3 linked regions of the Oryzias latipes genome follow. The protein of the gene in region 1 purifies or fractionates together with the protein of each later gene. This does not show direct contact. Links are inferred from orthologs where the notes say so. Each region holds a gene or a part of one and is shown on either strand. Other genes may lie near its edges.

Region 1 (3,500 bases):
TAGATATTCTTCTGTCAGGACATAATAAAGTTCTTTTGGATTGTTCAGGATTAATTGTCTTTCAAACAAACAAAAAGAAAAACAGTTGAGATGTGATGCTGAATAAAATAAAAGAAATACAATATTATATAGCAATGACAGAAAACATTTTTAATGCTCCTTAACTGAGGAAAAACCTTGAATATGTTAGCGTGACACTACATTGTCCCTTTACTTTCTAAAAAGAATAAAACACTGTTTGTATCCAGTTCTGTTAAAAGGAGTTAGGCTCTCTCTCTCTTTGTTTAAAATCAATTTGTATTTTGTATCTAAATAGCCGAAATTGCAAAATCTTAAGCGAGAGCAACAGTTCTCTTTTCTTTCTAAAAGCTTGTCTGTTTTGACTTTTTTTATATATAAATTCCACCTACATTATGCAACATTTTCAGGGGTTAAAAAAAAGTGCTTTTTGTTGTGAAAAATTAGAAGTAAAAAAAAAAAACAACTTAAGAAATTACCTCTAGAATTTCTTTACAGAGCAAAAATCAAACTATGAAAAAGATCTGGTAGAAGAATGCACTAAAATTGACTTAAAAAGTCTCCAAAGACATTTTTAAAGAATTATTATAATTCCTGAATGACGAGAGTTTAGTGCCCATAGAATTCTGAAATGTAATATTTTATGGTTACCAACCAAAGAAATTCAGAAATGCAGCCGATGACAATCATACCTCCCTACCCAACTTTGACTGAAGAACATATGAAAATTATATCATTTTATTTTTAACAAAATCTTTAATTTTATAGAGTACAAGCATTTCAGAAGAGAAACTAGACCCCCAAAATACTTGTGATAAAAGTGAGTGGTTTATAATTTGAGTTGGGGTTGTTGAAGGTAATTTGAACGATTCCACTTTTACAGTTTTTTAATTAATTTAGTAATATTATATTGACGACAAAAGCTGTTAAGGATTTTGCCAAACGCTTTATTCAATAAGCACACAACATGAACCAAAATAAGAGCAGAGTTTAGTTCCTTCTTGCAGAATACAGAAACAGAATAACTAAAGTAGATGTGGGAAGATATTTCAATTAATATAACCTCTTAACAAATGCAGAAAAACACTAAACCAACTGAAAAATAAGCAGATAAAGTGAGGATTGAAGAAATTACCTGCACAGCCGAATGCCAGATGATACCTGGATGTTGGGCTAAATTTAACGCAGCATACGTTAGCTTTAGCCTCGATGCTCGCTACTGAGTTGTCCAGATTGGTTGACCACAGCTTTACTGAAAAAGAATGTTGGAAATCTCTAACACGATTGATGAGGATGACGTGTTCAGACGAGGGCCAAATCTTTACCTTTAGCATCATCAGAGCCGGAAGCTAAAAGTTTGGGGTCCATCAGATTAAAGTCGACACTCCAACACCTTTTTTCATGTTCCTGAAAAGAACAACAGTGGAGGGTGTCACTGCAGATTAGGCTAATCAGTCAGAAGATAAAAGGATATGAACAGTTTTATCACAACACTTTCAACTCTAGTCATCACACCTGGTAGACTTTGGACCGCTGGCCGGTGAATCCATCCCACAGAATGACGGTTCCCTCATAATCGCTGCTAGCCAGAAGGTTCTTATGATAACTACTCCAGCTGATGCAGCTGCAATGAAGAAACAGATCTTCAAATGTAGATTCTTGTCAACCAAAGCTGGCAGAAATTTTTTTTTTTCCTGTTCATATGTGCATATCTGAAATTCTTTTTTTTTTTTCATTCATGGAGCACAGTTTTAAGCAAAACCTAGTCTCTGTCGAGGAATGAATTCCTTTACCTGATTTTGGAATTGCAGGTCATTTCGTTCACAGGATAGTGGATGTCCACGGCATCCTGGATCACGGTGCCGTACTCAAACACCTTGATCTTCTTGGTCACACCAGCAATGGCAAAGTAGTCACAGTCACGGTCAAACTCGATACTGAAACACACGCGAAGATGGAGTCAGTGATCAGACTTCTCCCTCATTTTAGGTACGGTAATCGTTTCCTACGACAACAAAATCGGAATTTTGGCTTTAACCCTTCAACTCCAGCACGTTAGTGCCAGTGTTTCAATTCTTTCTATTACAGTAATATATAAATAATAATAATTAATCATTTTAATTTATTTATTCCACAATGGGGAAATTCTTTCTCCGCATTTGACCCATTCCCTGTGGTGGCGGTGGGCTGTGGGCTGGCCGCGCCCGGGGGGCGACAGCTGGCTGGGAGGAGCGGGGATCGATCCTCCAGCCCTTCGGTTGTTGGACGACCTGCTCTACCCCTTGAGCTAAACTGCCGTCCTATATTTTTTATATATATATATATATATATATATATATATATATATATATATATATATATATATATATATATATATATATATATATATATATATATATCTATAGATATATATATATATATATCTCTATAGATATATATATATATATCTCTATAGATATATATATATATATATATCTATAGATAGATATCGATAGATAGATAGATATCTATATATATATATATATCTATAGATAGATATCGATAGATAGATAGATATCTATATATCTATATATATCTATATATCTATATATATATATCTATATATCTATATATCTATATCTATATATCTATATATATATCTATATATATATATATATATATATATATATATATATATATATATAGATATATAGATATCTATCTATCTATCTATCGATATCTATCTATAGATATCTATCTATCTATCGATATCTATCTATCTATCTATCGATATCTATCTATCTATCTATCTATCTCTCTCTCTCTCTATATATATATATATATATATATATAGATATATATATATATAGATTTATATAGATATATATCTATATATATATAGATATATATCTATATAAATATATATATTGGAGAAGATAGCTTTGCTGTGTGTATTATTCTTTTTGTAGTAATACATAATTTGAACAGACAAAGCGTTTCATTATGGATACAGAAAGCATTGACAGTCACGTTTCATGCTCTGCTGTAAAAATGGGGGGACCATGACATTCCTAAAGCGCGGGTGGGTTAACCAAGGCTGAGCCAACGGCGGCCCCTGCTCCGTGCTTAAAGACACTGCTGCCTGAGTGGGCTTGAACCGCGGGCCCGGCAGCAGGCGCCGTGGCAGGACGGCTGGGTCAGACGGGGCTACGCTTCTAATCGAGGAGGCACGCAAACAGGGACAGGTTTAGAAACCCTCCTGCGGGCCGCGGGGGTCCTCCCCAGGAAACCAGGGCTTTGCCGGCCCCGCTGTGTGTCGGGTTTCTCAGAGAAAGAAGAAAAAAAGTAAAAAGAAGCTCAGTGTTTTTAAACACAGTGACATATGTTCAGAGGATGTTCAATTGGCCGTTCTGCATGCCAATCAAGGGGCGTATTTCACGCCGAGGATGATGATTTTCTGACAGATTTTTAAAAATACATTTATCTTTGATGGCTTACCATCA
Region 2 (4,164 bases), on another chromosome or scaffold:
ACACAGAGGATGAACACATCTCTGGGGATTTTTATGTCTCGTGTTTCTTAGAATGGTCCTCACACAACACTGGTGGCTGATGCAGTCAGTTGGCTGAGGCTTTTGTATTTTATTTGCGTTCAAAGATCATCCCATAGCATGGCAAAACCCACCTGCCAATTTTAATGTTGTTTAACAGGTTTATGAACATATTACTAAGATTACTTTACATTAAAGTCCCACTCCGATCATGTCTGATCTATTTTCAAAGTGTTCCCACTGGTCATTTTAATTATGATGGTGCCATTTTTAGCTTAAATTAAAAAACGTGTTGTTTTCTATGACATACTTTCTGCAGAGAGGCAGTAGTTCATTTTCCTTATCATGTCCATCATGAAAAAAAGATGCTGCAAGAACATGTTAAAAACACCAACAAAAAAAGCATTTTCATCAGAAAGTTGCATCAATGGGATGCAGGTTATGGATAAATCTGAGACATAGTTAGAGTCCTGCAGCACAATAATCCAGTTGTACTACACATCTAACAACACATGAATGAAATCAGTTTTTATTCAAATAAGCTGCAATTCTAATCATTTTAAAAGCATTTGTAATATTTTGTCTCTTGCAGGAATATAAACTGTGCACTGGGACCAATCACAGAGCATTTGTTAAGTGATCACCCCAGATTAAGCATGGTGGACCAGGTTCAGCAGATTTTGGTGCAGTACGGATATGATGGGACCATGCGACACCTGATGGGATGTGTCAATTATTAAAATGTTGTGTCTGCAAGTCTTTCTTCATTCAACTTACTGGATGAATGGTTATCTAAGGTCGAGAGTGCGTGGCACAGACTGTACAGAGTTCGTGAAACATGTAGATGTGTGACTAAATGCAAAATATTCTAAAGCACCACTTCGGTGTGAACACCAAAAAATAAAACTGACAAAAAGACTTTTAAAAAGCCCAACTTGAAAATTACATGTATTTCTTTATGTCAACTGGAAATAACATTTTCAAAACTGACCAACAGATTGTTTTCCAGCCCACCAGCTTCCAGTGTCCAAAACACTTTTGTTTAAATTCCAGACCGGACCACCTTGTTTCCCGAAGTCCTCGGGATGTCAAGCTTTCTGCATGTATGCTTCCAATTAACGTTTAAGGTGAGCACGAGAAAGCGTCTTCTTCCTGCACATTAATGTGAAACAGCCCTGGCTGCGCTGCACAGACACGCTCAAGTGAAGCAAGCTCTGAGGATAAGCAGGAGGAGACTTGAAGCAGCACTCATCCAGCCTCAGTGGCTTTTGCAGTTGAATGTAAATGTCCAAAGAGAGTGGCGTTCTTCTTCCAAACCTCCACATCAAAGCAGCACAAACAACTACATTTACACCTCATTGTATGCTTCACTTAAACCCACACAGCCATGTTTTCTTTGCTCTAGATTGGCCCCCGAAACACACAATGACCAACAGCCCAACAGTATAATGACACCATTAAGGTTCATGTCAGCAGCGAACATATTAAGTCTACAAGCAGACAGTTGCCCCTGGCTGGGCCTCATTTCATCACTGTGTGCCTTTGAGTGACACAAGCCAAACAGTCAGTTTGTTTGCTTTGGCTGCAGCCTGGCACTCACGATACATGCCAATGTGGCCAAAATAGGCCATGCTCAAAGCTAATAATGTGCCGTCTGTGCTCACTCACACTTTTTTTTTCAGATGCAGGGGGAGGTTGTGTGGGTTATGAGCATATGTGTTGCATCAGAGCCGTTGGGCTTCTCAACCAAACCAAAAATGAAAGAAAACAATACTACATTTTGAAAAAAAAGTTTTCGTTTCTCTAAATAAGCTTTTAAAGAACCCAAAGGATGGCCATGTTGTGTGGTCAGACAGATAATTCATCAACACATAAAAGTATATTTGAGGAGGAAAGCAGCCTCACCTTCTGTGAGCCATGTCTCTTGAAGTTGGCTTAAATCCTGGAAGAGGTCTGAAGGGAAGCAGGAGAAAAATTTAGTCACAACATCCTTATAGACATCAGAATACACTCACAGATCAAGAAATGACACAGATTCCTAAATGTTACCTTCAGATTCCTGAGGGGGTAATTCTGTATCCATGAATTTCCTTTTTGCAGCCATCAACAGTCTATTTAGGGGCCCATTTCCTTGCGACTTCTGTAAACCCAGAGATGGGAAAGGAGTGAGTGTGTGTGTGTGTGTGTATATATATATATATATATATATATATATATATATATATATATATATATATATATATATATATATATATATATATACACACATAAACAAACGCGCAAAGTGACCATTTGGAACAGAGTAACGCGATCCTAAACCGAAAGAAGTAGGGGGGAAGCTTCGACAAACACGTTTAAATGTAGCACATGCCATCCTTTAATATGTGCAGATTTCGAAATAGGTCTTTAAAAGGCTTTGACAAACAGTTTTCCACCGCGCGCACAGCTGCGCCTTCAAGCCAAAACTCGTGCAGACGCAACGCGGAGCGCAGAGTCGGGCCATGGAGGAGGAAGAAAAACAACAAAAGTAGGAGTTCAAAACAAGAACTGAGGCATACGTACATTTGCTAAAGTGTAAGGCACTTGCTGGTCCAAATATCCATCCATCTTATAATCCATCCGTTAACCGTTTGTGGTCATTTAGGCTGCGTTAGTGGGACCCACGCAGCCTGCAGAGAGGAGGGAGCGCGGCTTGTGAATGGAGCTGCGTGGAAGCTGCATGCATAATGAGCTCCATTCACAAAAAAATGCCGAGGGGAAGTGATGGCGAGCGATTACCCAGCGGGCTGCGGGCCTCCTCACAAATCTGTGTCACTCTATAACTGCTTTAAACTTTGATGGCGCAGGCGCACTTTCATCCACATTGATTTATCGTCAGTTTTTATTTACAAATGAACAAGAAGTTTGTGTCTTTGTTGCCAAGTCTGCCCATAGATGTCTCTCTTGACGCACAGAAACCCCTAAAACACAACTTTATTTATTATTAGTAAAACTTTCTGAAACGTGTTTGGGAGGTGTTTAATGCCAGCTGTGCGGTCAAATCACACGGTTCGGTGATAATATAGAGACTTCTCTTCCAGCTCCACAGTGGAGCTTCGGGATTGGTGGATTTCCTTTGCAAGAGATCGAATTTCTCCGTTTTGTCCGGGTGAATGCACCAACTTATGAATGAAGTCTCGGTTCACTCCGCGCCCCAATCAGAGCGCCGAACGTCTGGCTCCTAGCAACCATAGGCGGGGTCTTGCCGCGTGAGCCAATCAGCTTCCCTTTCTGCCTGCGAGCCTTTTCTACTTGATTTTCCAGTTGTTTTTCATTCACAAAAAGAGGAACAGGGTGGAGGGGGTGTCCATTCATAAAAAAATAAAAAACTTGCCCCAGCACGAAAGTCGTGGCATGTTTTTCTTGTTTTGTCAGCGGAAATTAAAGGAACTTTATCTTGTTTACTCCTTTTGAACTCTTCCTTTGTAACTGGGAAGAAAACATGGCAGCAGCAGCACTGAGCAATGCTGACGTATATCCGTGCAGGAATACACATACCTGTGGTTTTAGGACACCATGTAAAAAAACTAAGAAACACACACAGAAGGAAAACAGAGGACGTGAAGTTCTTTGTGAGGCTTACAGTCAACTGAAACAGGTTTAAAACCTCAGTCGGTGAAGGAAACACAAAAGAATGTTTTTACATGAGTGAGGTCAATGTACAGCCCAGAGCCTGACTCTCCTCCCCCAGCAGCTCATACTCAATCTCAATAACACAGAGCGCCATACAGGTTTCTTCCTGCTTAATGGTATTTAGATGCACATTTAGATTTACACAGCAGACTATAAATTATACACCAGGCACAGCCAGCACTACAGTCCAAGGTAGAATCACGGAAATATAATATGATGGTTGTTTAAGATGTTTCATTCAATTTGGGCTGCTCTAAAGAGCCTGTGTGTTTATCCAGAAGGACAGGGCAGTTTGTGTGTTTGACAACTGAAGGAAAAGTCGTACAATGTTTTGAGAAGTGGCATTTCTCCCGTAATTTTTGTTTAACAATGAACCGTAAAACCTTTTTTTTTAATCCTTTTTGGAGACACATTCTCCTGGATCTCTTTTGTTTACCCTTTTACGGTGCTTTAAAGTCCCATTTTGATCTTACT
Region 3 (4,109 bases), on another chromosome or scaffold:
TGGATGGGACTATTAGCGTGGAGCAACCCCGTCACCCCTTCCCATCATCCCTTTGTTTACACTCTCACCCGCTAGCTTACAGCCCCTCCCACCCTCAACCTAATACTACTGCTGCAACAAAAATGACTAGCAATATCAGTTGTACAGTTTTGATGCAGATTCCAGACGTTCTCGGATCTATTTGTCTACCAGTGGATGCATCAGAATGGAGCAGAGCAGGGAGCTTTTCAACGTCACAAATTAGCTCTTTTTCAAATGGCATTTTTTTTTCATCTGTTCCTGAGTCTTTTGAATTAAGAAATACTAAGAAATGCAGCGATTGAGCTTAATTTTCTTTACATATGTCCTCATCGCCAGAAAAATTACGCAAGAACATGTTAAAAACACCCCTAAAACACATTTTTGTTTTTTACCAGAGCTGAGCTCTTGGCGATGCACGTTCAAGCAACCGCTTTTAATGTAAAGTCTATGTAAACGTGCATTTAACGGCCTCTCAGATTCGAAACGTCTGCCTTCCAGAGCCACTATGCAAGGTTTCTACGTTTGTTTTCAGGTTCTATGTTAAAAATTAAACCATGTTGAAATGGGAATGGTCATGTCATGACGAACGGGTGACGGCCTTTAATTCATGGATTAATCATCATAGTAGCTTCTACGTCACGCTTACAAGCTTTTTCCAAATGCATTTTCTTCATCTGCTACTGATTGTAAGTGATGATTAAAGCAATACTAAAAAAGCCATTTTGAGCCTAATTCTCTTCATATATGTCCTTCATCATGAGAAAATGTCACAAGAACGCATTTTTACCATTTTCATTGAAGTCAGTCTTTAAGAAAGTCGCCTATAAACCCTATAGACCTGGTTTTTGTAAAGCAGTATAACTATTTCATGTTTACCTCCTTTTAAATGGGATGATTATGCCTCGTTCCATAGTACAAAATAACATTAAAATGTGTTTTTTTGTCTCGATAACTTTCATGAACACACGTTTAATTGAATTTATTTATTTTTTTAACAATTAAATGCGTTTACAGACGTTTTTGTAGAGAGCAGTGAGCAGGGATCCCCCTGCTCTCCTTTGAGTGGCATTTCAGGAGGAAACACGTTCGCAGCACAGCACGTACAGCCGTAGTCGACTCCGTTTCACCACGCGCTGCATTTAGATTCCTGGGGGCGCGACCACAGCTTGTTGCTTCCACGTGACTTCAGGGGAGACTGGCAGCCAATCAGGAGGCGAGTTCTCCCTGACGTCAGTGGGCGGCCCCCAGAGCGCTCGCGTATGTGAGCTCGCAGAATCCCCCCTCCCCTCCCTCGTGCCCTCCTCCCCTCCCTTCGCCCGGTAGGAAGGCTGCTCGCTGGCTCCGTGCAGGCGCAGTGCGTGCAGTCCGATCCGCTCAGCTGGCTTCCTCTCCGCTCTGAGTGGACTCGATTCCCCGCCACGTAAGAAGCACAGCGGTGTCACGGGGGTGAGGATGTCCTGCTAAATCAAGGGATTGGCCTGGGAAATTCGCCGGCCGTCCCTTCATTCCTTCAAGCAGGAGACCCACCGAGAAAGACGGAACATTTCTCACCCGTTGGACGAACGGAGACTCGCTGAAAAGAACCAACCAGCAGCAGTGACTCTTTCCGGATGGGGGTTTCTCCTTTGCGGTCGATGATTTTCACCGTGCACGGATGCGAATCTGGAGAACAAGGCCGTGCAGTGAACCTGGTGGTACTCGTTAGCCGAACAAGCTAACTAGTTAGCTTTGTGTGTGTGTGTGTGTGTGTGTGTGTGTTTTTTGGCTAGCTTTCATTTGTTCGACAAAATATCAAAGCAACTCTAATTAGTCCACATGTTCTTTATTATAGCCATGTTCAGATAGTACATTTCCTCTGTTTTTTGGAGCCAAAGCTAACATATTGTTTCCGTTTTACGAAACGTGTCAGAACCGGCGAGATAAGCTAGCAGACGAGCGGTCTTCATTCATTTTGAAGGCTAACTTTTTGTAGCCTTTGTTGCAGCTTTGTCTCTTGCTCGTTCGTGACATTGCAGCACATTGCTGGGAATATTAGTCTCAATTTGCATTTTTTTTTGAGATTCAACTAAATTTTTTATTTTATTTTTTAAAAATTATTATTTTTATAATTTGTAGATTAAGAGAAGTGAATGAATTGTAGTGAAAATGCAGTTTTTGTTGTTGAATGAAATCGAAGGGTCTGTTTGAGTATAAGTGTTTTTTTGTTTGTTTTGTTTTTTATATTTAATTCAAACGGACCGGTTGAAAAATCGTGAATTATTGCTAACGACCCCCCTCCGTGCCCCCCTCCTCGTTGTACGGAAAAGCCCCCCCCCGGAATTCGCGGCTCCATCACACGCAGTTCCTCATGAACATACAGAGGTCAAATCCTATCAATATTTCACGCTATGGGAGGTCGCGACACAAATCCCACGATTTCGACAAGTTGACCTGCTTGAGGACCACTGAGTCTCACCAGAGCTTCAGCCCCAACCTCGGGTCCCCCAGCCCGCCGGAGACCCCGGCCTCGTCGCACTGCATCTCCCGCATCGGGGACTACCTTTTGTTGGAGCCGCTGGAGGGGGACCACGTTTTCAGGGCCGCCCACCTGCACAGCGGGGACGAGCTGGTGTGTAAGGTGAGTACCCCCCCCCCCATTATAATGCTTTAATTTTTCCCCCCTTCGTTACAAATGGGACGCAGATACTCTGCTCACGCGGGATGTTTCCATGTTCTGCTGCACATCCGCCAGCTTTTGAATAATTGCTTGGGCTGTAAATAGAGCTGACAGAGCAGCCGAATGGAAAAAGTGAATGGGGTGGGGGTGGGGGGGGTGAGCTTGTGTTGCATGATGTAACGTTGACAAAGGAATCCATAACCACACACACGCACGCATGCAGCCCTTTCCTCTTTCAGATTTCCCCCCTTACCTGTTAATCTGCTGGGATTATAACCTTGAATTTAGGACGGCTGTGCTCTCACAAACATTTCGTGAACATTTTATTTTTTTTCAGTGCAGCAGACATTGACTTTTGCATATTCCAGATTATGTCCCTTAATCTGGGTTACGTGACTTGATCATTTGCAGCGATGGTCGTTCTCATGACACGGCCTGCACCTTTTCTTTTTTTTTTTTTTTTTTTTTTTGCCTAAAAATGGCGTTTTATACCCATGTGGCGGAGTTGCGGCCTTTGGCACCGCCAGTGAGCTAACGGGCGCTTGACCCCGTCTGCTTAGCGCTGACCTCGATACGGCAGCCATCGATTCTTACTTCCGGGATTGATTTCTCAGCTTGGGATGAGCGGAGTGTCTTTGTATTGACTGAAGGGAGAGAGAAAAAAATGGTGGAGCCCTCTCACCTGGTCGTAGGGATAGTCAATTGTGCGTTGCCATGGAAACAGGAGACACTGCAACCCCGGGCTGCAGCAAAATGCCATCCCCTTATATCACTAACAGTCAAAAACAGTTGTCGGGGGGGGGGGGGGGGGGGGGAGGAAGCGAGGTCTAAATATCGACTGCCTGTTTTTAAATTTCCAGGTTTTCGACATCGGCCGGTACCAAGAGTCCCTGGCGGCCTACTTCGCCCTGGGCCAGCATCAGCACATAAACCAAATCCTGGAGATCTTGCTCGGGGAGACGCGAGCGTACGTCTTCTTTGAGCGGAGCCATGGCGACATGCACTCTTTTGTGCGCACCTGCAAGAAGCTACGGGAGGACGAGGCTGCCAGGCTCTTCTATCAGATAGCCTCCGCCGTGGCGCACTGCCACGACAACGGACTGGTGCTCCGCGACCTCAAACTGAGGAAGTTCGTCTTCAAAAACGAAGACAGGTGAGCGGCAGCTTTCATCCGCGTCATGTCTCCGCTTACACCGAGGACGGTGTAAGCGGAGACCGTGCACAGAAAGTGACACGCGTCTCCCAGATGGTTTTTGGGAATGTAAAACAAGATCTCCTGCCCCAGTCGACAGGGTTTATTAGCGCATACGTTACATGCACAAAAACAGATACCCGGTTGGTTCTGTAGGCCCGGCTTTGGTGAAGTTTAGCATGCAAAACGTGCTGGAAAGGGGAGCATTTTGCATGGCAGATTATCTGTCAAAGGCATGCC

What was found. The genes of interacting proteins can lie anywhere in the genome.
Region 2: the proteins of cop1 (region 1) and etv4 purify together in Homo sapiens (affinity purification with mass spectrometry; 5 studies listed by BioGRID and IntAct, with this or other methods). This does not show direct contact. The link is inferred for Oryzias latipes from reciprocal best matches to the Homo sapiens genes COP1 and ETV4.
Region 3: the proteins of cop1 (region 1) and trib2 purify together in Homo sapiens (affinity purification with mass spectrometry; 4 studies listed by BioGRID and IntAct, counting the BioPlex papers as one, with this or other methods). This does not show direct contact. The link is inferred for Oryzias latipes from reciprocal best matches to the Homo sapiens genes COP1 and TRIB2.

What each region holds. Positions count from the first base shown.
Region 1 is NC_019875.2:19,751,432-19,754,931, forward strand, and holds part of cop1 (E3 ubiquitin-protein ligase RFWD2), read right to left. Parts: intron 1,956-3,500; coding exon 1,812-1,955; intron 1,643-1,811; coding exon 1,534-1,642; intron 1,426-1,533; coding exon 1,344-1,425; intron 1,271-1,343; coding exon 1,154-1,270; intron 1-1,153. UniProt on the Homo sapiens protein: E3 ubiquitin-protein ligase that mediates ubiquitination and subsequent proteasomal degradation of target proteins.
Region 2 is NC_019877.2:18,210,446-18,214,609, reverse strand, and holds the start of etv4 (ETS translocation variant 4), read right to left. Parts: upstream 2,801-4,164; 5' UTR 2,638-2,800; coding exon 2,581-2,637; intron 2,159-2,580; coding exon 2,068-2,158; intron 1,972-2,067; coding exon 1,924-1,971; intron 1-1,923.
Region 3 is NC_019882.2:2,597,931-2,602,039, forward strand, and holds the start of trib2 (tribbles homolog 2), read left to right. Parts: upstream 1-1,309; 5' UTR 1,310-2,368; coding exon 2,369-2,638; intron 2,639-3,537; coding exon 3,538-3,830; intron 3,831-4,109.